Linked DNA regions of Lepisosteus oculatus. The protein of the gene in region 2 purifies or fractionates together with the protein of the main gene of each other region. This does not show direct contact. Links are inferred from orthologs where the notes say so. Each region holds a gene or a part of one and is shown on either strand. Other genes may lie near its edges.

Region 1 (6,834 bases), about 4.2 Mb from region 2:
GCTGTGCAAGCTGTATGAAGTTAAAGATAAACAACAATCAATTCAGCACCCAAAAGGCATTCTGTAGCTGCGAATTGATTCTCCATTGTTTTCACTGAACCCCTACAGGTCCTGCTTTAAAACATATTACTATGAGCATTATAATGAGGCTATTTTCTGGATAAGGACAGGCAGCAATTAGAATTAAGTTGTGTTTTGGAAAAATAACATACCATTTTTAGGCTAGCAAAACAAAACTGCTTAAAAGATAAACTCATGATAGGTCCAGTGGCTATTTTAACTAAATTTTTGCATGCTTATACACAAGCTGAATCATGTCATGCAAGTTTCACAGAGGTGGTGATAGAGACTGGTTTTCCAAAATGCACAAGACCACTTCTTTACTGTAGCCTCCAACTATATGCTGAAAGTCAGTACACACAGAATTGTACATTCCTACTGTAAAAATGTTGAGACAATTAAACCAGGAATGGCCAACTGTGGAACTCAAAATAGCAACACCCAGTAGTGTTTAACAGATCTGCAAATTACTTAATTAAATAAATCACCTGCTTAAGTGGCCAGCACAATTATTCCAAGCATTTAGAAACAGCTGATATAAGGATGACCCATAAGACCTGCTGGACAGTTGTATATCAAGGTTGACAACCTTGATATTAACTGAGCATTTAACTTATATGGGCTTCATTTTATTTTTACCATTTGTAATGTTCGTATTTAAAGGAACTCTTGTGACATGTTTTTATCTATTGAAAAGATGCGATTCCTCTATAACATCTAATAGCAAATAGAAAAGTATAACTAATGCTCATGATTATAATCACAGTGCCTTAGCAAAATATAAAGCATCCACAAATGTGTGCAGCATCATTCCTGTGTACTTCATAAAGGTCCAATTATCTTTAGATTAATACCCAATACAACATTTTTGCATCATATTTCTGAATGTATACACAGCTAGCTTGGCTTCTTTTACATAAAAAGCTTAGGCTTAATGTGTACAATCTATAGGCGTGTGACAGGATGTTGGTCATACATATGGCATAATGTAATCACTTTGGTCTTCTATTTCAACAAATTAATCTGTTATAACATCAAATCTCTCACTGGATATTTTGCCTTTATCCTTACAGATGGAGGTCATTTATTTCAAGATAATCTCTTCTGCTTCAACGCCTCAGTCAACACAATCAAAAATGTCTTGAGTCAAAAGCTATACGAGCTCCCATTTTAGTTTACAAGTTCTGTGCATTTTGTTATTTTTGTATGAGCTGACATTTACAAAACGGAATAATTATAAGTGTGGTTTTGCTCAAAGGTTATTAAACCCATAAATACCACAACAGCAGAACAACAAGAAACCTCTTATCATTGAGCTCAATTAGTCACTCTATAATATGTAAAGGGGGACAACCACAATTACATTTCAAGTGTAGCACAAAATCATACAGGAACAAGTTATGGAAATGGCATAAACAAATAGAAAGACTAATGACTGCTTCAATAAGATAACACATTAATCTTTGTTATATGCATTTCAAATGACTGTACCACATAAGCTCATTAAAATCAAGCCTTGATAGGTTTTCGTTCTAGAGTGGTATTTAGATAAGACTTGAAAGCAGGATGTCTAAAATGACACACCATTTATTTTAATCGTTTAAACGACATTCCACGTTGTATAAATAGCATGACTTCATTTTGCCTTTGAATACAAAACATACGGCACCTCATTTACTGCTACCAATAGGCAAGACGGACAGAAAGTCGAATTTAGCTTGCTAAACCAATTATTCCTACACCACGGCCTGAACTTTGAACCACGAGTGTTTGGTTTACGCAGATCGCTACATTTTCCTTGCCTGTTACACCCTTTTGCTTCATAGCGTTGCACAACCTCAACTTCAAGCTCAAAAGCAATATGTTACGCGTTCAGTTTTCAGACGGTGGCAGGTAATTTGACAAATATGGCACTGAGTTTTCGTCCAGCCCTAGACAATTACAAATCACAGCGGAAGGTGGTAATCAAAAGATGACCACGTACGCATATAATAAATAAAAAACACTAAAGGAAATGAATACATACGAAGGCTACATAGGTAATGAAGGAGCTATGTGCTGCATGTGCGCAGTATGTACCAGGCTTACCAATCGTGCTCGGTAGTCATTTTAGGGAAAAACAGAAATATACACCTTCAACGCTAAGTTGTTGCACCCTAGCAGGAAAAAAAAAAACACACAAAACAGAAATTGGAGACAAGATGTGACAGTCGTCTCTAAACAGCAGTAGCTGATACTCTGTTATCGGTTTGCTGTGGTTTATTTCACTCCAACAGCTGATTTGCAAATTCGCAACTGTAAGAAAAACAGCCATTTGGTATTGCATCGCCCAGAATCGTTAACTTATATGAATACATCAATCACAACACAGGAAAGTCCCAGCAGTGCACACTGCACCGTGTGCTGGATCCAATCTGACCAGCAGGCCTCAAGCAACCGGGCCTTAAGAAAAAAAAATGCTCTGCTTGTTTAAATCTCCGCACAAAGACAGCACAACTACAGACTGTTACTTTTTCCATCTAAATGATGCGAACACAAACCAGTTTATTCTCCAAAGTGAGGACTCACGGACATAGACCCGCTGCGCTGTTTTTCTTTTTACACCACACAATTTTCCTCTTTTCTCGCCTAAAAGAGCACACTGACAGGCCTGCAAGACGAGAGAGAGAGAGAGAGGGGAAAAAACTTCGCTGTTTGCATGAGATAGTAAATATTACTCTGCAACAAACCTTGCAAACACGACCCGTCTTCCTTGGTCTCCGAGTGTTTTGGAATCGCAGAAGCAAGTGAGGAGAATGGCAGGGGTTGATACCGCCCGGTTTTCCTTAATTTACTGCCCCTCCGTGATTATACTTTTAGTTTATTTCCTAGTTCTCCCTGCAGCTGGATGTAACTGTGCGAATTCTCAGTGCAGTGCTGTTTCTATTTCCGCTGTGATACCGAAAAGGCCGCTCTCTGCTGCCATCGCCCGCCCGCCAGTGTCATAGCAACAACACTGCGCAGCCACCGTGGGGTCTGCGCCGCCAGTCTCTAGTCGAAATGTTTCCTCATTCCTCGAGTACTACGAATGCCAGTATGACCCAGTCCAGCAAACCTTTATTGTTTGCAGGCAGTTGAGGATTTCGATATTTTATTGAACTGTTTAATAGGAAATTTCGAAAAAGAGCATTTATGTACAGTAAATGTATTGGTCATTCTGGGTGAATTTCACATTCATAAATCAAAACGGTCTAATAATACTCCCCTTTTTAGTACTTTTGAGGTGGAGTTGAAACACTAAATTCGATAAAAAAGGCTGAAGCAAGAAAACATTTGATATATGTAAAAAATACCATTTGATCACATAATTTACTTTACCTCCGGCAGTTCATTGTTTTTTTTTTCTGTTTGTGTTTTTTTCTCTTGTACCTGTTTCTGATCCTCTGGTTGTATTTGTAAATTCTTCATACGTTTAATACATTTGTTTAAATTTTTTTTGCATTTTTGTTTTTCATAGGAAACTTAAGATACGTCACTTCCCAAGGCTTTTGTACTTTATTCCGTACAGCAAGACCAGACAGAACGGGATTGGGGTGGAAATGTATTTTTAGAGAACAAGCACAACAAAACCAATGATCAACGATAGTTTTTTTTTTTTACCCTATCGGCGTATTCCCAAACAAGAGTTAATCGAACCATGTTACATACAGTATACAGTATGTAAAGAGACATGACAGAACTATATTGTATGAGAAGCAAATGAGGCCCTACAGTCAAGTAATTAGCATACAACCAGCTAGAAATGAGAAATATCACAGGCCAAAGAAACTTTGTGTAGTTAAATAAACCACCATGATAAGGTGGCTGACAAGAGAGGGAAAATTACTTTAGGCCAATGGGACATTTTTAACGGATTCTGTATTCCCATGTGAATTTTTAACTAGGTGATGATTTCAGTTTCAGAGAAGTATGGGGACAGCCACATATACCTTGTGTACATTAAGCCAACAGAGTGGATCGGTAGAGCTGTAAAGACCAGTAGCAAAACATGAAGAGTAGCTACAAATGGTGTTATTCACAGGAACAAGGTACAATTAGAAGAGCAGTGAGATATAAAACCCCACCCCCCTTTAATCACAAAGTCACAAAGTCACAAACTGTGTGGGACAGCACAGATGCTATCAGGTGCCCTGGCCTTCAGGAATGTGGCATCTAGTCAGACAACTCCAACATTTCACACCTCTCAGAAGCCCGAGAAACAGAGGGCCTGTCTCCCAATAATGCTCAATATGTTTACAGTTTATGTAAATATTTTCTGATATGTCATTTGTTGTTTAATGTCTGTAATATGTCTGTAGATTTTATTTTATTTTTATTTTGTTTCACAGTAATTGTATTATGTGCTTTGGCAACACTGATTGTACCCATCGGTCATGCTAATAAAGCACCTTGAAGTGAACTGAATTGAATCGAATAGTGGTGGAGCCCTGATATGTCTTCTTTGGGCCACGTGAAAGCTAGTTTGTGTGTCAGAAAGGGGAAGGCCAGTGAAAACCTGAAGCTGGTGGCCTGTGGAACCATTTATCTTCTGCAAAGTACATCAGCTTTCTCTAGGCTGCTGCTGCCTTGGTTCTAATACCCATACAATGCAGAGATGGAGAAGAATAAGCCAGGCAGATCACTGGATCTGATAGCATTTGACCATGTCAGTGAGCCTCTATTGATTTACAGTATCTGGGAAAAAAATATTTTAAATCTTGTGGTTGGCCAGCAATAAATTTAAATTCTTCTGCCTTGAAATATTTTTTTTCACATTAGCAGTTAAGGTGTATATAATGTAAGTATATAATGTGTAATTTATACAATCTTAATTACCAGAGTAAAGATTCCAAATAGAACTAACACTAGAGTTACGACTTAACCTTGGATAGGTGCTTTGGCTGTGTCTACTTCTAGGGTTTTAGGTAGGGTTAAAGCTGTGGTAAGGGTTTAGCTTATGGTCATGACTGAGGTTCCCCAGAAAGCTAAAACTAGACTAAGGGTTAAGGAAAAAGATAGATTTGGCATTAGGTTTTCAGAAAGAATCACTTAATTTCCTTGAGAAAATTGCCCAGTTGTAATTTCTGGGGCTCTGAGGGTGAGTGTTAGCTCTGAGCAGGTTGACTCTACAGTGGGCTCTACAGTACTCCTTCTCCCCTGCATACCAGCTTCTGGGTTAGCTCAGAGATTCACTGTTGCCTCATCTAGACTCAGCTTGGTTCATATCAGGGCTTTCATTGTGGGTTTGTGGGATTTTTTGGGGCTATAGTTAGAGTTAGGTTTAAATGTAGAGTTAGGCCTTGGACTAGCACTAATATTGGGACTTAATTGTCCCAAAAATCACCACTGACCACTATTTTGTTCAACTACAATGCCGTGTCTACACACAAGATGGCGCTCGAACTCTGAATTTATCTTATTGAAAAGGGAGCATAGAAGCAGTAAAGGAACTGGGCCTATCTTTAATGTTTAATTCTTTTTTTTTATAATGTGTGCGTTTAACGTATGGTATTTGAGTTTTATATGATGTGTGATCTGAGTAAAGTAACCTAACAGTTTTATACACTGTTTGAAGACATTTTCAGTATATTTGGAATCCATTATAATTCCAAATATCCAATAATATTTGGGCGATAATTGTAATCCAACAGAATCATTACAATTGAATTTATTATGAGTCATAGTTTGGAATGATCGGTCAGGAGACCACCTGTTTCTAAAAATTGAGAACAACATGATGAATTCAGCAAGTGATCCATTTAGCTAAGAGATCACAGGACTGAAGGGAACTCATAGTTTGTGTCAAATAAATTAGAGATTCCGCAATATATAAAAACACCTTTTTAATTAATCTCAGAGTTTCAACTCTTTAGATATTGGTAGTTTAATGCTGACATATAAAATTTGCTGAATTTGGGCCTCCACAGGTTCAGGGTACTAGAGCCCTGCTATATGTGAACCAGGTACCCCAGAGGTGCACAAGTTTTGAAAGACCAAAAAGCTTCTGGATTTGTTTCTGCCTAAACTCTTAATGGCCTCGATGAACTCATTATTTCCCTCATCGGACAATGTGAAGCCGTTCCTTGTTCTTAAGAAACTGGAGACGGAGACCTGTAAAATCTGTTGAATTTTGAGGACAGGAGATGGCCATCCCTGAAATATACAGTAATTTCTGTGGGTTCAGCGACTAAGTTAACATTTTCCCAGTCTTTGAATTTTTAAATGAGAAAGTATTCATGTAATAGACTGAACAGTAACGATGCATTACGATTTTGAAATTACAATTTTATCAATTTCACTAGACAACATTTTTATATCATGCTCAACATATTTGTAAACGTAATATTTTTTTGGAAAACAAAAACGTATTTCTTTTTCTCCCTCTACCATACAGTGCACATCCATGGACACATTGAAACAACAAATACACATATTTCTTAGCTTTTAGTCTAGAAATTCATGTCTAGATCATCTTCCCCGAACCGCCTGTGCAGTTTCTCTCCCCCCACTGCCTCAGCGCGGACCTCCTGACTCGCCGTCAGCGCCACGGTACAGCGCATCGCCCTGAACTGTGTTTACCATGTCAGGGATTAATTAACTGAAACTGAACCTAGAGTCGGCAAGACAGGAAAAAACAACAGCGTGACGATTACGTCCAACCCGATTAGTAACCCAGAGGTGGACAGGGCACGGATCTGAAAGAAACGGTGGGCGGAGAGGCACATTGTTGCTCCGCCATTCCCAAGCGAATTCGTA
Region 2 (7,705 bases):
GCCTGATGTCATAGCTTCCCCTCCATCCCCAACTTCAACCAGTCCAGCACTGCAGAGTCTGGACAGCTGCCCTTTCGGCTGTAACCAGGGCCTTTGTTTCTATGAGCCCTATCTAATCAGAACCGCACAACCAGAGGGCTTCATTTACAGGCTCTTCGGAGCCTCTTCAATAAAAAATATTGACACTTCAAAAAAGAAATTCATAAAAAAACACAACAAACTTTAAAATGATGCTGACCCTGAATAAGCCATAAAAGCAGTGCTTAAAAGTGGGGAAGCAGATGTCCATTACTGAGTGGAACAATAATACAAATGGCAAATGTAAAATTACATGTTTTTTAAATACTGAAATTACAGAAAACACACAGCTGGTTCGCTAGCTCCAAAACTCGAGAAAAGATGACATTGGTGACCTTTACCCCTTTTTTAATCGAGACTAGGGAAAAGTGCTGCTACTTCACTTTTAAAACACAGGGCACTTCTTTTCAGACACACGTCTGCTTGAGAAAGCAAAAAGAACTCAAAATGCTTGACTTTAAATTAATTTCTTTTCAATTACGGTGCTTCTAGCACTGCTCTCTGGGGTACACTGGACAAAAAATTGACAATCCCTGCAGGCAACCTGTATCAATTACTGGAGAATTTTTTTCCCTGTTCTTCACTTTAGATTTCACGAGAGAGAAGTTTCCAGCATTTAGATATACGCTTGCTTGTCAAAGCCACAGGCAGATCAGCAGAGTTTTATTAGCATCCGATTCATGTATTTTGATTCCAGAGCATTAGCAGAGGAAATGGAGAACTGAGAGGCGCAGTGGCCCGGCTGTCTCAGGGGTCTTGTTCACCTGGGTTCAATTCTGGTAGGGGGAGGCTTTATGTGTGGAGTTTGCACGTTTACCCCTGGCATCTTTGTGGGTTTTCGTTGTGTGCCCCGGTTTCCTCCCAGAAACATACCAGCGAGGTTGACTGCTGTGTGGAAGCTGTCAGTGTGCACGAGTTGTGCCCTGTGATGTAATGGCATCCCATAAAGAGCACAGTCCAGCCATGCTCCCTCTGCTTCAGGGACAGGCCTAGGGCTGCTTACTCAGCAGGAGAAATGCACAGCTGAAAGCTTAAAAAACCAACGGACAAGCACTGTGGTGCAATACACTACCTTTATTTCCCGCACATCCAAACCAGTATGTTCAAACCCATTTCTTATTAATATCTGACTGTGGCTGCCAGTGTCCTTGTTGGGTGAATCTCAAATCTAATACAGTGATAGTTCAGGTGGGCAGCTGCGTCAGCATGCGTAGGTTGCAAAGGAACAAGTAATAGGTTTATTCCGTGCTGAAAAGAGAAGAAAGAAAACACAACGTTTCAGCCGCGGAGCCTTCTTCAGGTGTCTACACCCGAAGAAGACTCCACGGCCGAAACGTTGTTTTCTTTCTTCACCTTTCAGCATGATGAATAAACCTATTACTTGTTCTTGTATAATACTGTGAACCTCTTCTCTGGTGCATGCTCTAGGGTCATGTCAGGTCATATTTTACATGTGCGGGCTGGTGCATCTACATTCACTGAATCCGCTGATTTTAGCAAGTATAAATCTGCTTTATAAATGTATTTTTAGGGCAGCCATTGCAAATGTTTTCTCATTTAGAAGTGCAGCTCATGTACTGTATGTATTGAAGTTTTTTCTCTTTTTTTATCAGTTGGGAGCCCTGTGTGATTATCTGCAGTAGTTAAAAGGGGTGACATTATACTGAACCACATTAGCAGTGCAGTAGTACACTTCAGAAAAGTCTGTGACAATACTTTCTGTTGTTTCAGTATATTTTCAGACATTTTTTTCTCTGTGGCAATCAGTCAAGAGACTAATAATAAATACAAGAACATGAAAAGAGCAGAACATATTACGGAAAGTTGCTTAGACTTAAAATCAGCCACTAAGCCTATAAACCATAACTTACTACAGTACGGTCATACACTGTATGTGTACCAAACATACCCCAGCCTCTTGCATATGTACCACATAGCGAGACAAATAACATAGGTAATTATGTCAGTCATCTCTACCGCCACCTGGGTTTTTTTAGATGTAGTTTAGATACAAGACCAATATAGATGGACACTGCCTGATCGGGAATCCTGCATTTCAGCACAACAGCTGAAACTAATCTCTTGCCCTGTCAGTGCTGAGAACTGGTGATGCTCCTTATCAGAAAGCATAACGGGGGGGTCAGAAAGAGTCACGTTGGACAATTTAAAAAATGCGACAACTAAAACTTACAAACCGAGAACAAGCGACGTGCTAGCTTCAGGACACCTGTCCAAGACGGCTTTCCCCTGGCGTGCTCTGTGGGCAGCCGAAGATAGCAGGAGGCACAGCTGGGGAATAATCTACATCACCTAGAGGGCTGCGGATGACGGGACGCGGAGCGAGCGTTAATACCTGCAGCCTTATCCGCCTTAGGAATGCGGCAGGAGCAATGAGTGCGCTGAGGAATGGCAGGTAGCAGATGCACACACGCCTTTCTGCCTTCTACCTGCACGGCTCCCGCCGAGGGTCCCGGCGAGGAGCGGAGCCCCCCTCGCCCCAGCCGAGCTCACCTGGTTCCGCAGGTCCCGCAGGTCCCGGAGGTGAGCCATCCTGGCGGTAGGGTGGTCAGGGTGAGGGCAGCCGCGGCCCTGGCCTCCTCGGATAGGGGGTGGTGGGGGCAGATGTTTAATTTTTTTCCTCCGATATTTTTTTTCTGCTTCTTCCTCCTCCTCCTCCTCCTCCTCTGAGACCCCACTGCACAAACAGCCTCCCCGTTCTGTCACTCCGAGCTGTTTTCGGCTTCGGTTCGCCCACTCGCTACTCCGCGAGAACAGGTTATGCCATGAGTGACTCCATGTCTCAGACTGGCAAGTGTAAAGAAGAATTTCGACTTTGTGTATTAATATTTAATTCTTATACAAAAAGAGACTCTCCCAGCTCCTCATTTACTGCTTGAGAGGGACACAACAAGCTGCGCACGCGTGAGTCCCTCCTGTGTGTGCGCAGAGCATTGTGGGAATAGTAGTTCTTTCCCTCCAGCAAATTGGACAGCAACTCCCAAGGCTCTGTGCGTTTCAAGTGACGAGATTTTTATAGTAGCATTATCATGCAGTGGAGAAAGCGTATTCTGTATATTTAAGTAAATTAGGTCTAATTAATTTCTCATTCCATGAAATAAAAGTTTAGTTTTACGAATAAATAATTTTAGATTGTATTTGAATGGACTCTGGTAGTTTATTTTCTGGCAGAAGCTGCCTATCACTTTCTAACCTGATCTCGTCATCTTGTCTCAGCCGAAATGTTGTTTCTTTCCTGCCCTTAATACTGTGACCAGACACAACCAACAGACAAGCAGGTAGCTGGTGCATGTAGCGTTGGTAGATCAGTAGGTGGCGCTATATGCTGTAGAAGTTGCTATCGTTAAGATGCGACTATAATAATAATAAACTTTATTTTATATAGCGCCTTTAAAGGTGGCTTCTCAAAACGCTTTACAGGATGACAATAACAATAAATAAGAAGACTACAACAATAAATAAGAAGATTTCACAAGATAGGACACAATTATAATTACAGCAATACAACAATAACAATGGAGGAGACCGTGGAAGGTGGTATTAAGAAGAGCAGAGGAGTGAAGAATGGAACCAGTTAAGTAAAGGCTTTTCTGAAGAAGAAGGTTTTGAGTCTGGATTTGAAGGAGTTTAGAGAAGGTGACTCTCTAATATCCTTGTGCAAAGAGTTCCAGAGCTTGGGGGCATAGCAGGAGAAGGCCCTGTCGCCCATACAATGTAGACGGGCTTGGGGGACAGTAAGGAGGGCAGAATTTGAAGAGTGGAGGCTGCGAGGTGGGGAGTAGGGCGATAAAAGTTCAGACAGGTATTGAGGTGCCAAGCCATGTAAAGCCTTATAGGTGAGCATGAGGATTTTAAAGTCTATGCGAAATTTGACCGGAAGCCAGTGCAAGGACTCCAGGATAGGAGTAATGTGAACACTTGCACTGGACCTGGTCAGGATTCTGGCTGCTGAATTTTGGACATACTGCAGCTTGTTCAGAGTAGATTTAGATACCCCAGGGAGTAGAGCATTGCAGTAGTCAATTAGAGAGAATACAAATATGTTGATCAGCTTTTCAGCCACAGTTAATGATAGCATAGGGCGTAGTCTTGCGATATTTCTAAGGTGAAAAAATATGTGTTGACAGTATGCTGTTCTATGACCCTGTTTTTTTGGTTATTAAATATCCCACAGCACTGCTTATAGGAGGAGGAGGGTTAAAGATGCATAACTTCCACCTACACAACCTGGAATTACTGAACACCCCTCTCAGTTCACCTGGTGAAGTAGTTTCTTCTCTTCGCCTGCGGTGAAGGACGAGGGGAATTCGTTCATGTATTTAAAGTTCTTGGGGCTAAAAAGAGCTTTATGAACACAATGTTGTTTTATATGTAGTTATCAAGGAAAGTCTACTCGATGTTGGTGTGTTTGGGGCGGGTCTTGTTTTAAATTGCTCCATCTCTAGATCAAATTACGATTATATATACATTGTAGAAGTGATCTGCAATAATTTAAAAATCCATTTTAAAAAAGAAATGGAAGAGGTGTAGCGAAAGAGCAAAGCGTTGTTGTACTGATTCGTTGTGACCAACACGTGTTTCGAAAGGAACCCCAGTCTAGAGAAAAGGAAGAACGATGCATCACTAGATATTACCAATAAACATGATTCCGTTTAATCCCGTTTTTAATTGCTCGATCGAGGGATCAAATTTCTTAATGTGACCGCTAGGTGGCAGCACATCACTACAGAGCAGAGATTTTGAATACGCAATTTCGGAGTCTTCAAAAAATCATGTAAATTATTCTTTTTAGGTTTATTTTTAAAGAGAATAACATATTCAGTCAAAATAACGTGCAAAACAAAAAATAACTGTTACTGCAACTTTAGTGATTGAACCAAAAAGTCTCTGCAAAACTACAATTACAACTGACAGGATGATAATTATAATAATATTTCCTTGCGCTTTTCTGGACACTCTACCCAAAAGCGCCTTACAGGTAATGGGGATTCCCCTCCACCACTACCAATCTGCAGCCCCACCTGGATGATGCGACGGCAGCCATAGCGCCCCAGTACGCTCACCACAGGATGAAAGACCAGAACCCTCTTTAGCCTTGAACAGAGATTACGGGGGAACCTGACGCAAGTATTCAAAATCCTCAAAGGCACCGATAAAGATCACCCAGAGGATTTTTTTCAGAGCCGACAGTCAAACACAACCCAAAGGACACAGATGGAAATCTCAGGGATGAGACCATTTAAAGCTGGGAACATGAGGCAAGTCTTCGCCCAAGGGGGTTGTGTGAGCGTGGAACAGGTTACCCAGCTAGGCTGGAAGTCGATGGCCTGGTATTGTGCAAAAACATTCAAGGGTGAGACGCTCGAATTAGCCGCTAGCTACCGAATGGTCAATATGGGCCGAGCGGCCGTCTGTTGTTTAAAACCTTTCTTTCTGATGCTCTTCTTTTGCTCAATTCCTGCCGCGCTCTTGAGAATAATAATAAGTCAAATATCGTGTTCCGTATCATATGTACGTCATGGGAAAGAAAAAAAAGCGCACACCTCCAATTGTGTAACAGAAACTTTTGTGTGTGTGTGTGCGCGCGCGTGTGCACGGTTTTTGAAAGACTGTAAGAAAAAGACATTCCTGTCTCCGGGCCCTTTTCGCACTGACGCAACTTCTCTCCACACCCGCGTCCCCCGCAAACTGCTCTGGCAAGCTGCACGGCGCTCTTTCTACAAGCGCAGACAGGGCGCTGGTTCCAGGTAAAATGCTCCCGGCGTTGGGGATGGGGAGTGGAGGCCTGTAAAGGAGAGTCGTCTATTTCCCAGGTAAACGGGGGCGGGATATCAATACCATATTCAACACGTTGAATGGTATGAGATAATTTGCAAGTTAGACTACATAGTCACACCATTAAGTCAATTGTTTACTTTATTTCTTGTTATAAAACTACATAATAGAGTGCTGTGGAGACTGCCCCTAGAATTTAACTAAGTTTTAAAATTGGAATTAAGGGGGCTTCCGCGGACACTATGTGGAAGTGCGTTTATAACAAGAGAACAGGATGCACTTCTTTACACAAAGTGTTGCAGGAGTGTGGAACAAGCCACTCAGCCATGCTGTTGAAGCCAATACCCCGTTTCTTTCAAGAAATGGCTGAATGAGCCTGAATCAATTAACTAGTGCCAAATGGGCTGGATGGGCTGAATTTGTAACTTTTTCAAGTTCTAAAATATCTTTCCAAGAGCAAACAACAAACTAGGCTTATTTTAGAGCCAAAAGGCTTTCCTATGTAGCAGTGCTCAGTGAGCAAGAGGCTGTTGCATCTCTTCTTCATAAACCAATGTAAACAGTTTCCTACAGTATGTGAGGCTGGCACTTGTTCCAGTTTCTAATAGACTGTTTGCATTTTCGCAGAAATGCATTGCACACATCTAGCCATCTAGACACAGCAATCACCTTCTAGACTGTGATTACAGGGAGGAAGGATTGCTCTCTGTGTTTTCATGATGCAGTCCTAAAAACCTGTAACTGGGTGAAGTGAGGTGGCCAAGACCTTTAGACAAAAGTGTCAAAAACCAAGTAGGCTGAGTCTGATAAGGTTGTAAAATATTAAACAGCAACATAACATCACCCTCCTGCCCTTGAACTGAATCCTCTGCTTGTGTTACCTGTTTCAGACCTGGGCTAGTTTTTTCAAATTTGTGTTCTTCCTATTTCATTTTGCTGCTGTATAACATCCAGCACTCATACCGAAGACATAAATAAACATAGATGAAAATCTAACAGACGCTAGCTGGAGACCAGTGTCTGGAATTGTAGTTTCCTCTGTCTGTTGGGATTTAGAATAACTTAATGCCTGGACTGTTGAATATTTATTACTTGGATTTCCCCATAGTTTGAGTAATACCTTCTCATAATTAACAGTCATCTTTGTGATTTTTGCTTTACTCTGGTTTTAAGGTAGTGAGCGTTAAAGAGGTTTATAACATGTATTGCCTCATGTTGTTTCTAAGAATTTCTTTGTCAAGCACATTCATTTTTCTGGAAAGAATATAACCACACTCATGGAAAAACACTTTTCAGGGAACTCATTGCCAAATATCCAAAGAGTAAAGCAGAAAAAATCTGCTGAACAGGCAGTTTCCTAACACTCCCTTTTTGCTGGCAAAATGTGTCAACACTTTTGTTTGTCAAAACAACAACAGGCAGTTCTACAGAATTTCACAAAGTACGATTTGTGACAAACAAGAAAGGCAGGAAAATGTGTATTCAGAACCGCGGGGCAAAACAAGAGTTCATGAAGAGCTGGAAATACATGTGGTTTCACTCAAGCATGGAAAGAACATGCTTTAACCAACTTCGGGATCATAGTTCATTGGAAGCATTTAAAAGCTCTTCCAAGGAAATTTGTTGCAGCTCTTTTCCCTAAAGTGAGATGACTAAGGATACAATTTGATGAGCATCCACAAAAAAGATGGAATTTAATTTTCTGTAGAAATTTTCCTACACCCCAAGGGTCATGCAAAGTGCTTTTTAATTTGTTTTTCTTGTAACTGGTAACTGTAAGGAAAGAGCCTGGTGGTCACAATTTATTGTGGAAGAGATAGATAGGAACCAGGAT
Region 3 (7,915 bases), on a different chromosome or scaffold from region 2:
CCATTGTCTCAGTATGTCTTCCCATACAGCCCACACTGAAACAGAAACAATACACACATATGACTTAATCTTGTTTTATTTATACTCCTTCTTCTTCTTCTTCTAAGAACTAAATCAGGAAGCTTCTCGCAGAATAAACTCCTGCTCTGTACACACAGCACAGCAGCAGGCACAATCTGACAGAAACCTGTTTTCAACAGCTATGGAAATCTTATGTCAAGCGAAAACCATAGAATCAAAACGAAATCATTTTTATGCTACCTACCCACAAGCAGAGACAGTTATCAACAGCATATCAAATGTTTCTGACCTCACATTAGAGGTAATGAGGTTCAGGATGTCATTAATTTTATTTATAAGCAGTGGCAGTGAGCAAGCAGTTAGGACTCTGGGAGGGTCAGGTGCCAATACCAGGTGTGCCAGGTGTGGAGACTGCGGTTGTGCCCTTAAATAAGACGAAGTACATTGCGCAATTGCTCCACTCCCGGCCATCCCCGGTTAAATTAAACACGACGTCAAATCAACACGACGTTTCGGCTGTGGAGCCTTCTTCAAGAAGGCTCCACGGCCGAAACGTCGTGTTTTCTTTCTTCTTTTTTTTTCAGCATGGAATAAACCTATTACATGTTCCTTTACAGCCTACGCACGCTGACGCAGCTCCCCACCTGAACTACTACAGATACAGTATATATCCTTATACTTCCTGTTGAAAAAGCAAACGATTTAGACCAAAAAGCAATAAGATTGTGGGCTTTACGGGCCCCTTTTAAGAAAAATCAAAATGAATGGGAAAATACTGTGAAAAGACACATTCGGAAGCTTTAGGCTAATTGACCTGGAGGAAGAAACTTTACTCCTCCTTTCCGTGCCTCAGCCAACAGGAAGAAGTGCTCAAGTATTACAGATACATAAGCTTGTTATTACTGTGAATACAATGCTTTCAGGGTGGTAGATTGATTGAAAATGTAAGACACTACAATTGCATCTTTAAAACGAGCATTTGAAGCAGGAAACTGCTTCCACCTCCCAGTACATTATAGGTGTGGGATCGCAACAGACCTAGCTCGACCTACGCTCTCGAGTTTGACATTCTTTTCACTTTAAAAACAAAATGTGTCATTTCGCTCCCAACGCTTCAAGAACTGTGTTTACACAACAAACGTCTCACTCGGCAGAGTATTCCCATAAATATTTAGTAAATTAAGTAGTTAATGATTTCTGCGGTTGCTAATACGGGTTCCCTCACGGTGTCGTTGCTAGGACAAACCTCTAGGGTTAAGAGTTTTTCCCTTTACCTTGAAACTGAGGAGGTGATGTAAAATGGTTAATGAATCCGCATCAGACAACGCTTACAACAGAGCGCACCAGATAGAAACCCCGTCTGGGTTCTGCGATGTTGGAATTAGACCGTATTTCCACATGTAGTACAAACACTCAAGATAATTTAGCCGGGAAGTGCAGACGGTACAGTTCAAACAGCTTGTATATGCTCTCCCCGCGGGGATCTGGGTTTGCGTAAGGAGACTATTCTTTTACAGCCACCTGCCAAGCCACCTCTCAGAGGAACACAAAACGCCACCCATCTCCAAAAGGTTTGTCATGGGACTAGCTGTACATAGTTACTCTAATTGTGGATTCTAAGGAGTTTTTTAAAAAAAAAAACAGATGCTGTTTGCGAACATTGGGCGTTGGGATGACTGTAAAGCAAAAGCTCTGACATCACCATGAAAAAGACCCGTAAAGTTGCTAGACTAGTTTGACAACTAAAAAACAACAGAGTAAGGTATGTAGGTCAACCACCTCTAAACACAATAATTATAATAATAAAAAAACATTTTTATCTACAGGATCATTCAAATATGTGAACGCATTTGTATGACGTATTTTACTTTCAACAGGAATTAAACTTTAAACAGATTTACATTATAAACATAAACGAATAAATAAATATGATAGCTGTATTTTATATAACGGTATGAACATATACCAAGAATTCCAAATTGGTTATAAGCAATTCATACTGTTTTTAAGGTGGTGTTAACACTGTAACAAAAAACCAATGACACTGGGATATTTTAAAACTCAATGATGTGCTCTTAATGTGCTGCACAGTTAAAGAATATCGTTGAGCAAAATAGGTAACTCACCTTTTCTTGTGTGGAAACTGGGTGGTTCACACTTCAAGACAGTCGGGAGTTTTTTAGGAGAATAATTTAATAGCTCGTTAGCTATTGCCGATACTACAGATCTGTTTCCTTGAAATCAACATCCTACTGGGTTGTGGTGTGGAGACCCATCGCCCCACCTTTACAGTACAAAACTGTTTCAGTAACTAACTCCAGAGAAACCAAAGCCTCTCATTTCTACTCCACGGCGCAAGCGCACGGCCCTACATTGGCTCTTCCTCTTGCAAACATTGCAGCGCTTGATCCTTAAAGCCACAGGTGCCTCGACCATTGCAGCCCGGGGGCATCCTCACATCGCCGTATCTCCTCCTGAGGTAGCTCCAGAGCTGCACATGGCTAGCCTGAGGGGCAGTGCACTCTGTTGACCATTACAGGAACAAATCCCCTTTTGGTAATGTCTTGTAGCTTGAGTTATTCACGCTCGCCGAAATGTCTTTAAAAATCGCTTAAACAAAGTGCCGTAACAGGTGTATAGCTCGCTGTCTTGTACAGTATGTATTGTAGCGCTGACCGAGCTAATTTTTTCTTCAGCAGTGGTCGAACAGGTTCTGACTTGATTTATGGGGACCAGTCAGAACAAGCGCCTCTGCACGTCCCCAGTCCTGTTCAGCCTGCCTCAGTCCTGAGAAGAATGTTGGAAGAAGAATTGTTACTATGTCGCACCTGCATTCCGATCATGTGACACTCGCTCTTGATTACCATCTGACACGGCAGAAGGAAGCTGGCAAAACAGCTTTTTAAGAACACTAGAGCATCGGAGAGATATAATTATTGCGATCTCTGATATTTAGAACCACATTAGACGTGTATATTCGTGTTAACATTCAATCTGGAAGAAGTGTCGGGGAAATGCTTTGAATAGTAATACATTATACTTTTCAATGCCTTTTAAAAATAATGTTTTAAGCCGTATTACAGTATTTCAGAATGCAGGATACATGCAGTATAAAGAGGCAAAATAAAAAAAGAGGCGCAGTGTACGTGAAACAATATCCAAACGTCACGTCAAGGGTATGCGTAATAAGGATGTTATTTTCCGTACTAACCAGTTTTGATCCTGTAATACAGAGATTAGAACCGGACATATCTTTTCGTAGTTCTGCCTTACATCCTTATACACAGAAGAAGCAGGTTTTTCGTGAACATGTGATATATGAAGAAATATGTGTGTCTGTACAACATCATGATAAAGGAATGCGAGGTTTCCTCTAGGAAGCCACAGATGAATGATAGAGTAAATATCTACAGGAGGTTAATGAAAAAGATCAAATCTTGTTGTAGTTTTAGTGACTTAATGTACTAGACGGTTGTATTATGGGTTTTCTCGGTTGCTATCTCGTGGTAATGAGTTTAAATAGTATAAATAAAGTTGTGGGCATGTAGGACTTTTCCTTTATTTACACATGCATTTAATCCACCGCACATTGGTCTTTAAATGTTAAGTACAAATTAGTTTAAAAGTAATAAAGCTGGAAGGAACAGTGCAGCCCACAGGTTTGTGGGGATAAGACTGACGATTTCGTAATCTGCAGCGCATAAAACTTTGGTCTGGTTTCTACACACGTTGCTGGCAGAACTGGAAATGGGTTCTGAAATTGGAAGCAGATTTCCAGTCTCGGGTTCTGACTGGGACCAAAGAGATATTACAAACGAAAACAAAGTTCAGGTGTGGGTAGGAAAAAGCAAATGATAAAAACTATATTACAAAATTATGGATGTTACATATCAGCGCATGATACAAACGTGTATTCATTAGAAAGAGGACTGAATATGTCAAAACATTTAAAAGCAAAGTTATCACCTCAGCCAGAAGCTCGTCACTGAGGCCCGTTTTCATCCTCTCAACTCAGAACAAGAATAAACAATTGTGAAAAATCTTTTCACTTCGAAATACACGTAGCAGAATACTCAACAGGTCATCATCCCTATTTACCTTTTTGACAACAGCAACCCTAATGTTGCGCAGGTCAGGTGTTAGTACAGTAATTGAAATAAATTTAAGTCTCGTACCTGATAAATAAGATGGAGCTTTGATGTTTTGTATAGTACACAGTCACTATTTTAGACACTACTGATTTTTTTTGTTTCCTCTCACCATTAACTACAATGGAAGAATAAACATATCCTACTGAATTTGATATGAAACAAATTTTCTATCCTAAAGATTATTTTCCCTCACTTTTAGGTGTTGCTTCTCTATACAAATGTTTTTAACTACATCATGTGACAACATTTAATTTGAAAAAAAAAAATCCCTTTTACCCTAACAGCAAATTAAATTTAACAGATCAACTGGATAAATTAACTTCCAAGTTAAAACACAGAATGGAAGATAAACAACTTTTGTTTTCACATCATTATCATTAAAACTGCATACTTGTGTTGACTAGATGACCCCATATAGAAGGACTAGCAAACACTGTAAAAACTGCAAAGGAATTCTGAAAGACCTATAGACAAAATCAAAGATTGGACAGTCCTGCCCAACTGGCAGGTGACATTTAATCCACACAAGTGCCAAGTATACATTTCACAAAGCACTAGTACGAACCCAAATAACCTGGATTCTTACTGTAATATGAATTTTATGTACCATTTTGGTCACCAAATTACAAAAAAGTTCATTCTGGAATCAGTCCAGAAAACAGCAACCAGATAAATTTCTGGGCTCAAACAAATGCCCTACATTAACAGACTAAAAGAAGTGATCCTTTTTAGACTTGAACAGAGAACACTACAATGAGATGTGACTTTATTAACCATCCCAAGGCACTGACAATGTCAGCCCAATACAATTTGGCAGAACCAACTGTGAAACATGAACCAGAGGACACATGGAAACTACATGATCGCGCAATTAAAACTGGGAACAGGAGGTACTTTTTTACACAAAAGACTGTGACAATCTGGAACACACTACCCAGCCACGTTGTTGAAACAGATACTTGCTTCTTTCAGTACTCAGCTTGGTGAAATTTTCAGATGAATTATCTACTAATAAGCAAAAATGCTAGGCAAGAATTAAGCATCACTTCATCAGTAACATTTCTTATGCTTTTAACTTCGATTTACAAATACTGTTTATTAATTTTTCTCATCTGATATAAACTGCAAAATCTCCACTGACCTAAGCCACAGCTCCACCATGTGGTCATATCTTGTTCTACCTTTTACTTTGTTTCAATAACAAGCATCCTAAACCCCGCTGTCACATCTAGACCAAGAGGTGACCAAAATCAGGCTTTAGTTCAGCTTTCAACAATGTATTAATGGTGTTCACTGCAGTTCGAACATTACAATAACAAATGATTGGAAAAATGACGAGGCCATTCACACACATTTCTCCAACATGAGAAAATAACTAATGCACATTAAAACTGAAAATGAAAACAAGTTTCCAAAAACGGTCCTGAAATTATTCACATACTGCACCATTTTATACCTAAATGTACATCTGACTCTTAGTACAGGCACTCCCCTCTGTGAAAAAGCGGCTCTTCACAGCTCCGGTCTTGGTCTACTCCTGTGCCTACAGGTTTTACTCCAGCTGAGCTTTTAGGCAATGGACTAATTGATCCATGTTTCATCCAGACTTTACTTTAAGCTTTTAAAAAGTCACATGAGGTTAATAACTACCATAATTGAGGTGTGCGGAATGCAAGTAATGAAGCTAATACAGAACAGCTGGCATATAATCTTGATCAAGTCATTCCGGCTTGTGTTTATCCATCATGAATTGGCCACCTATTAAGACTGAATTAGGCAGAAATAAGGCAGCAGTCACTTCATAAGCAAGTTGAGGATGGAACGGATTGAATTCTGCTTGTTGCGTTTCTTCTCAAAACTGTACCTGCAGCAGAATATTAATTTTGAAACATATGACTAAAGTACAGAAATAGCTTCCAAACGTCTGTTGAAGCAAGAAGCTCAATTACAGGGATCAATCAGCCTCAGTGATTAAGAGCTTAGTAGGAATGAAAAGCAGACCACACAGGGGTACTCCAGTTCTAAGGCAGAGAACCACTACTCACCCTGGCAATAAGCAATAAAGGACTACTGCTAATTGTACACCCACACCCACAACTGTACAAGTAACACACAAATTAGCAGTTCCAGAACTATTTATAAGAATGCACCTTCAGTGGTAAAAATGATTACAGTTTCTGTTAGTTGTGACTTGTAGTTAAGGTCATTTATCTGTCTTTAGGATTTGTCTCACCCTAATCTCATTGAAAACAACTACTCAGATGTTGTTTTTAAAATAAGTATCGCACTGCCACTTTGTTTTTATAGCAGTGCAACTCACAACTGGCATCCTACTGACGTTAAGCAGGTATGAGGCTGGTCAGTACCTGGATGGGAGACCTCCTGGGAAAGTCAAGGGTGCTGCTGGAAGAGAAGTTACTGGGACCAGAGGTGTTTCTCACCCTGCCCCTGTATAGTGACGGGGGTACTATACTGTTAAAAGGCACTGTTCTTCAGATGAGACATAAAGCCAAGGTCCTGACTCTCTGTGGTCATTAAAAATCCCAGGGTGTTTCTCGAAAAGAGTAAGGTCCTAGCCATATTTCCCACTGGCCTTTTACCCAATCATGGCCTCCTAATAATCTCCATCTATGAACTGGCTTCGTCACTCTGCTCTCCTCCCCACTGATAGTAGTATCCTAACCAAAGCCTTAGATGAATACAGGCAACATTAGGTAAGAATTTTCACTTTAAAAAAATCAGTACGTCAGTACTGAAGCAGCTTCGTCTAATCTTCCAACACCTCTTTACTGACGTTCCTTGACCAATTCAATTTCGGAGGAATTGTTAGTGTTGTATTTTGGATAAAAGTGCACTACTCTTTTAATAAAAAGTACTCTACATGTGCCTGCTGGAGGATTTCCACACATTCTTTCATCGTCCACTGTTGTTTCATCCTAGAGAGTCAAAACAAGCCAGATCCTAACCTAGCAAACACAGGGCAGAAGGCAGGATTGGCTTGGCACTGGATGAGATGGCAATTGCAGGGCCAATATAGCAGCACCAAGTAACTGAGCCAGTGCGGCTCTGGGAGGTAAGAACACTCATGAAAATGCAAACTCCACAGAGACTGCACACCAGATTGGAAATGAGCCTCAGACCCAAAAAGCTGAAAGGCAGTAGCATGAATTGCCCCACCACCAGGGCAGCATCTGATTTAATATTTTATTTTTGTTCATTCTGTACACATCAAGTCTGGCCAACAGAAAAAAAAATGACCTGCAAAAAGAAACAAGACTGATTATCGAAAGAATTCCTTCTTTTTTTTTGCAATTTGCCTTCATTGTAGGATTTTGTTTTCTGCTCTGTGCTTTAGAATATTTGGCATAAACAAAAAAAAAACGGCTTAGCCTTTATGCAGCAGTAGCAAGAAGACCCACAGAGCAGTGAATGGGTGTGGGATGTCACTCGTGGGCCCGGTCTCTGCTGTGTGTCCACTCAGGCCGGCGCTTCTCAATAAAAGCCTTAATGCCCTCCTGCCCATCTCTCAAAGCCAGGTTGTCCACCATAACCCTAGAAGCAGTAGCATAGGCAGCACTGCGATCCTGGGCCATCTGTCTGTAGAAAGTCTGCTTCCCCAGAGCGACGACCGGCCTGCTGGCGGCACAGACTTTGCGGGCGATGGCCAGCGTTTCCTCGTCTAGCTTCTCTGCTGGGACCACCTTACTGACCAGTCCGTGAAGCAGGGCGTCCTGGGCAGAGAT
Region 4 (7,173 bases), on a different chromosome or scaffold from region 2:
CTATTATGAATTCTTTTTAATGAAGTAGTTGATAAAGTAATCCGATCAAGCATTTTTGATAATATTTTTTTCTGTAAAACCTCAAAAGCTTCTTTTAATATATTGTTGAACTGTTTTGAATGACAAATGTTGTTTGAAAATCCTTTGTGCGAAAGCTGTCACTGCTGTACTGCAAGTTCATTTATGTGTGAACCCCACTTCTCTTGGTCTTTGGTTGAGATGAGCTCTGAAGGACTTCATTAATTTTGTTTTGTTTTTAGAGAAAGGGAAAGGGAAAATTAGAACAAAGGGGAAAAAAAGCTTAAAAGAAAGTCTTGGTAAAATGCTTGTGTTGATCTACAGTACCACGAGATGAATCAATGAAAAGTTTTTAATACTGTGGGAAGTTTCAGCACTTTTCCTGTGCAGCATGCAGCCAGCTGGGGAAGGTTGTCTGTTGTTCATGGCAATGCCAACTTGGTCCCTCAGATGTTCTATTGGACTCAGATGAGGAGAAATAGCGGGTTACTGCAAGACCTCTGCAAGTCCGCAACATTGTTTTCTGGAAGTCATGTCATTGTAATCCTAGTACTGCATGGTCTCGCATTGTCCTGCTGGAAATGGACCCTTCTGGAGTGTCTTGCAGGAATGGAGAAGCTGTTGGCTCATGGCCTTTGTCAGTGAAACTGCTCTCTGAGCTGTAAGAGAACCCTCAATCTGCTTCAGAGCTGTTCTTGAGTTAAAGGAGATGTCTCCCTAGATAATCACAGTTCTACCACTACACAGCCTGGCTAGAACAGTGCAACAATTACCATAATACTAACCATGACAACTTTACCCAGGTTGTCTCCTGTCAGGACCATCAAGAGAAAAATCAAATTAATCTCTCCCATTCTACAACCAGCTTAGATGTCACCAGCTAGCATGCAGATCATCAAGAACATGGTGATCCAGTTATTATGCAGATGAGCAGGCTATTGTTTTTGGAATTCCTCACACTGTAGCCACTGCAGTCTGAAAACAAACAGGTGGGTCAGATTGTTCTGGGCCTGTACGGTGATTCCTTTGCCTCACAGGTGATTCAGTCCCTCACAGAGCCAATTTTCTGGATTCTCTGGACTAGTCTACTGATTGTTGAAGTGGAACATTTCTCTCACAGTCAGGCCACCTTCAGTTACACTGAAACCAACCACGTGGTCTTCAGGTCTCAGGTGGGAAATGGTTGACTCTTACACTGTTGCAGCATTAATCACAATCTTGCCTTTTACAATAGTCATTTACACAGATTCTTAAATTCATTTTGATCCAAATTGCAAACTGAGCACCTGTTTTTTTATAAAATCACATAGCTTGATTCCAATATTTTGCCCTCCAAGAACTATTCAAACAACTTATGTACTCACTTTTTAAAATGTAAATAACTTTATGTTTGTTTCCAATGAGATACTGAAGTAAAACCGTTCCATGTTCATTGTGCATCAGTACTAATTAAATGCCTTCAAGATATAAAATGAGTGTAGAGAAGAAATAAAGTGTTTCTTGATAATTCAACAATTTTTCATTGTGCAACTTCATGCCCGTGCTATGTGTTATTGTTGTGTTAATCTGTGTGCTCTGATCACCCAGAATCAACAAACTGCACATCAGTTTATAGTCATCAACTGACATTTTGTGCCATAGCTGTCTTATTATCCATCATTGGTAATTTGCCTCTTGTGAATATGCTTTAGAAACATTACAATTCTGAGAACAGCTAAATTAAAAGGGAACTGCTGTCCCAATTTCTCAGACCGGTTATTAAATCTTGGTAACAGAATAAATTCACTTACGTTATAGAAAATTTTTTACAAATGTTAAATTAAGCACAAAATTGTGAACTCTTTGAAAGTACTGTAAGTCACCACGTTGTTGCAAACTTGCATTCGAGTTCCCAAGAATTGTGACGTGATACAAATTTGGCCAGGATACCAGTGTACACCCTTACTCTTTTTAAGAAAAAGTCTGGGATTTTTAATGACCACAGAGAGTCAGGACCTCCGTTTTACGTCTCATCCAAAACATGGTGCCTTTTTCTAGTATAGTGTCCTCATCACTATAACTGGGGCATTAGGACCCACACCCCAGGGTAAGCACCCCCTACTGGCTCCACTAACACTACTAACACCACTTCCAACTGCAACCTTGGTCTCCCATCCAGGTACTGGCCAGGTTCACACCTGCTAAGCTTCAGTGGGCTGACATTTGTTAGTTGCGGGGTGATGTAGCTGCTGGCAAATTTTGTGATGTAAATTGGAGGTTTTACAAGTTACTGCTTACATTTTACTTTTACTGCAGCTTGAAATGCACTCATCAATACTGATTTTTTCTAACCCCGAAATATGATGTACAAAGCAGTTCCCCTTTAACATTGAAATTGTGATAGAAGGTGATCTAAATGTATTTATTATATGCAAATTAAATGGATTAAGAAATACACATTACAGGAAAATGTTTTCCCTGGTGTGGAACATGAAGTTGCCCCTTCTCTCAACTTAAAGTAGATCTTTTGCCTCTGGGTTGATACAAACTTAGGTAAAATGCACAACTTACTAGGTATACTATAGATATTGCAGTCATTACAGGATCAATTCCAAGTCTATCACAACAATTCATTTGAGACAAAAACACTTAAACTGAAAATGACAATAATATATATACATACAAACTTTGGAATCTATTGTAAATATCATTGTCTCATAACAATACAGCAACAAAATCTTCCTTCTACCATGTTCAAATTGAGGAAGAGAATGAGGATATTTCTTTCTTTTTTCTTTCTACTGGAGAAATGTAACAATAGTTATCAGGAAGTCAATAACATGGTTGTTCAACAATAATTAACGGAATCCCCCCTCTGTCCTAAATCTACAGAAATGAATCCCCCCTCAGCCCTTAAGCCCATTGGTGACATAATTAAACCATTCAATCTAAGTGTTTAATATCAATACTGGTATCCCCCTCCCTTACCTCAAAAAGACTTGCTCCTGTACCCAGGCACTGTCCAGAGGAGAGTGGGTTCTCTCCGAGCACCCCCCCTCTTCAGTGCCGTGCTGCTGTGTGGGGGGTGGGGGGAGTGTTTGGGAGAGAGGAGAGAGAGCAGTGCTCAGTCTGGAGCCTCAGTGGCTGAGTGCAGAGACAGCGCACAAGAGAGACAGAGTGTCCCACAGAAGAAGAACTGGGGGAAGCGAGGAAGCAGAGAGTGGCCAGACAGCAACCTTTACGAGTGAGCGTGGCAGTGAGTAAAACTCTTAAAAATAACTCCAGAAATGCTCCGAGTGCATGATGGCAGATGTTAAAACACATTTGGCATGTCCACACAGCATAACGGCGTATTCTTATGAAGGATAATCAAAGAAGACAGACACGGGAGACAAGCGAGTGAAGTGCAAAGCATTTTGGAAATGAAGCTGTTTTCTAATTTAAAAATTAATACAACAGCACAGCAGGGGGTCTTTTAAACCAGATCAAATCACTTCTCCCCATTTTCTGGAAGTCACTGTAAAAATATTTAAAGGCACAGATCTGACGAGGTTTCCTGTGACTATAGAAGAGTTCGGATGTCTGAAAGGTGTTTCAAAAATATCGCCTAAATGCAGTGTTGGTTGAAGAATTGTCTGTACTTGTATTTTTATTTTGCTTTGGAAAAAACTGGAGCAATTTTCAAAGCAAAAACATCTGTAAGGTGGCTAGTAATATAATCAAATTATCTGCTTTAAGAGCAGAATGCACAGAAACAGATCCCCTCAAACCCTTTAATTGTTTTGCAACAAATTTACTGTGTTGAATAGTCCTGATTTCAACTTATCTGCCAATGTTTTAAAGGATACAGGGTAATCCATGGAGCGTGTCAAAGGTCAGAGAGGGAAGACTGTTGGAAGCAGGAAAACAACAACATATTATGTCTTCTTTAGCAAATTTCAAAACCACAATTATTGAAGTTATTTGTAGGAGATAGAACTGGACGGCACTGAATCAAAAAACTATAGACACTAAAACCACAAACTTCCAGTGTGAACCGAGATAGGAATTTCCCAGTGAGGACAGAAAAATACAGAAAGAGTTTCCTTTTCTTGGCAGACTACAGACACACTTCTGCCCTCACTGTTCCCTTCTGCCGACATGGAGGGATGATACTGTCAATGATTTAATGTTTCAGCCCCTGCTTTGCCTGAAGGCACACTTGCTGTTGTCAGACAAAAGTTTAGGTCACTTGCAGAAAAGTTTGTTTATACAGCTCCCCCCCCCCGAAAAAAAACACAGGAGCAAACGTTTTCTTTAGAAATGATCAGGTAGATTTTAAAATGCATGTTTTGACTATTTCTGATTGTCAGAAATTACAATGAGAAGAACAATTACAGAAGAAATTGTAGTGATGTTGGAGAAGATCTTCTGTTCAGCCTTTTACCTTTAAATTTGTCCTGATTAACTCACAGAAATAGCCATTTAAGATATTTAATATAAAAAATAACTGGAACGTTGACAGGGATTCTTTCTCACATTACCAAATCACGTTTCTGAAAATGTTTCCGTTACATTTTAGGTGTTATTAATGACACCAGATAAATTATTCACAAACCAGCTGTTAACATTTCTAAAAACACTTTAATAAGTGTTAAAGTATTAAATAATTTAGCACATGAAAACATTCTGAGGGTATGGGACTATTGATAGATGTATCAGGGCTTTCTTCATGTCTTAACAAATGGAATTTTCAACTCCTGTTGCTGTTTTCCTGAGCAGGTCAGAAATAAATAATACTAGCTTTTATGATAGGATAGCAGTCTTGCACATAAAACAAGAAACGGAATGGAAGTCTGAGCCAGGTTACATTACTGAGGTTCTGACTTGGAAACACCTTTATTGTTTTCACAGCTTCCAATTCAGAGAGTGTCTCTATATAGGTTACACAGCAATGCTGAGAAGATTGAGAGTTTCTCTGACCTGCGGTCATTGATTCGCACTGAATCTCAGGAGAGGAGTTTTGTATTACCTTACGAATGGATATTCTGCAGTGTACAGAAATGTATGTATGGCTCTAAATAACCAAAATTTGTTGACTTTGCTAAGGACCAATTTAGAAGATGCCAGAAGTGAAAACATAGCCCAGTGAAGGTTTGAAACAAGTTTTAATTTGTTACAAAAAAGGCAATTACCGGAGAACACCCAAGAAGACACACAAGGTGTATCCCTCACCTCTGCCCCTGTAGTGCTCTGAATCCAAGCGGTTTTGCAGGACGTTTTATAGCCTGAGTACAGCTCCAGTCACTCTCTGTTATTGTCATGACTGAGTGTGTACAAGCAACCATTGCATATGCATTAGAACTTAATATTTCCACACATGGCACAATGACTGATACTGATAAGGTTATCCCCGCCTTTCAGTTATTCCAAAAATATCACATACTCAGGACAGATCAGGTCAGGGTATACACAAATAAGTCGTATTTACAAAAAACACCCCAGCTACAAACATTGTGATGTCTGTGAAAGTGTTTTTTTAGCTATACTACTTTAAATATACAGGATAGTACTCATGCGTTTTCAGTGACTGTCAACATATTTTATGTTCCTGTAATGTAGCAGTACTTAGTACGGACAGACCACCCTATTACTCACAGTGGTAGCCAATAACATAGTACCAGACAGAGGACCTTTCCCAGACAAGGACAACTCTGTCACACCTGCTGAAGTTAACAAATTAAAATGTGCTGTAGGGATGATCACCAAGTAGTTTAGAAGGTGATATATCAGTTTATTTTGGTGTCAGATACATGTGGCACTGTCCTAAAGTGAATAAAATATTCCTTTAAATGCTACCGCCACTAATATTATACTTACACTCCTAATACTACAGCTGATTCTAGCACTCTGTTGCGACTTATGCAAATGTTTCTACTGTTTTATATATTAAAACTACTACTTATAATAGCAAGATCACTGTTTTTCTATGTACACTCAAAGTTTGTGCTGTGTCATAAGCTGCAATTCATTGAACTTTCATTAGCTTCTGTTATTTATAAATAAAACAGAAAAACCTTCCTGGAGCCTAATAAAATATCCGTAAAATAAACAGCTCTTCATTTGTGCCGCTGTAGTCCACAATGGTACTTGTATAAGTCTGGATTCAATGGTACTGAAACACTTCATGGGGTGTCTTTGTGTAGGTCACTAGCTGATTTACAGAGGTGCAGATCTTGGTCAGTCTGTTGTGCAGACTGCAAAATGATTAAAAAGGAAAGCAAACAGGAAACACTTAAGTAATGTTGTTTTTTGAAAAACACAGCCATAAGCCATAAACTTTGACTTTGACACACTGGGAAAAAACTGTGGAAAACAAATAATAACATCTACAAATCATTTTAGTGATTTGGCTGTTTGATCCCAGTGGTTCACTAATGCTTATTATGTGCTTATTTGTTTAAATTTAACTACAAAGAAGACGATATTAGTAGCTCTTAAAATTGTTTATATCTGATACTTCACACCTTCCCTGCTGAGGAAAAGACCTTTTCCATTGCTGTGTATCTTTAAAACATTTTCAGTACCAGTTGTTAGTTCACGTCGGCAGTCTTCTGAAACTTTACCAAAAAGAGGAATGACAATTCAGTTCAACTTGCTCATTTGGTTTCTAACAAGTGGCTTAAGTACAGGAAAGTGCATTGAAGACTGAGAACTGGAGGGATTTCATTTACACCTAGGGCTGTGGGAGCCTGGAACGAGTTATCCCAATAATGTGATAAAGCTGATACCCTAAACCTCTGTGAAGAAGTGGTTGGCTGAGATCAATTAACTACTAGCACCTAATGCGCTATTGGAATGAATAGCTGCCTCTCCTTTACAACCTTTCTTGCATTCTTAAAGTAATTGTTTCACAATTTCAATAGCCTTTTCTTAAAGACTCCCAGTGAATCATCTTCCACAGTGTTGTTGGGTAGTTTGTTTCAGGCAGCCACAAACTTTCACTTAAAAGTGCCCCAGATTTTGTGTTTCCAAGCTGGTCTCACTTTCCACAGCTTCCTTTTCTGAGCTCGCAAGCGATTGTTTAGACTGATCTTGTATCTTTCAATCTTCTTTGTATATGTATATCCAGACATCTATCCATTTTATATCCAATTCTTCCAATTCAGGGTCACAACGAGCCTACCCTGGCAAGCA

The links.
Region 1: the proteins of stk25a (region 2) and cab39 purify together in Homo sapiens (co-immunoprecipitation; 3 studies listed by BioGRID and IntAct, counting the BioPlex papers as one, with this or other methods). This does not show direct contact. The link is inferred for Lepisosteus oculatus from reciprocal best matches to the Homo sapiens genes STK25 and CAB39.
Region 3: the proteins of stk25a (region 2) and proline and serine-rich protein 2 purify together in Homo sapiens (affinity purification with mass spectrometry; 3 studies listed by BioGRID and IntAct, counting the BioPlex papers as one, with this or other methods). This does not show direct contact. The link is inferred for Lepisosteus oculatus from reciprocal best matches to the Homo sapiens genes STK25 and PROSER2.
Region 4: the proteins of stk25a (region 2) and sike1 purify together in Homo sapiens (affinity purification with mass spectrometry; 4 studies listed by BioGRID and IntAct, with this or other methods). This does not show direct contact. The link is inferred for Lepisosteus oculatus from reciprocal best matches to the Homo sapiens genes STK25 and SIKE1.

What each region holds. Positions count from the first base shown.
Region 1 is NC_090708.1:8,180,992-8,187,825, reverse strand, and holds the start of cab39 (calcium-binding protein 39), read right to left. Parts: upstream 3,024-6,834; 5' UTR 2,790-3,023; intron 2,671-2,789; exon of another isoform or gene 2,601-2,670; intron 1-2,600. UniProt on the Homo sapiens protein: Component of a complex that binds and activates STK11/LKB1. In the complex, required to stabilize the interaction between CAB39/MO25 (CAB39/MO25alpha or CAB39L/MO25beta) and STK11/LKB1.
Region 2 is NC_090708.1:12,399,798-12,407,502, forward strand, and holds the start of stk25a (serine/threonine-protein kinase 25a), read right to left. Parts: upstream 3,020-7,705; 5' UTR 2,629-3,019; coding exon 2,590-2,628; intron 1-2,589. UniProt on the Homo sapiens protein: Oxidant stress-activated serine/threonine kinase that may play a role in the response to environmental stress.
Region 3 is NC_090702.1:41,896,237-41,904,151, forward strand, and holds the start of proline and serine-rich protein 2, read right to left. Parts: upstream 3,008-7,915; 5' UTR 2,148-3,007; intron 1,404-2,147; exon of another isoform or gene 1,296-1,403; intron 36-1,295; 5' UTR 1-35. Other genes in the region: echdc3 (enoyl-CoA hydratase domain-containing protein 3, mitochondrial), read right to left, coding at 7,616-7,915.
Region 4 is NC_090700.1:32,285,883-32,293,055, reverse strand, and holds the start of sike1 (suppressor of IKBKE 1), read right to left. Parts: upstream 3,011-7,173; 5' UTR 2,986-3,010; intron 1-2,985.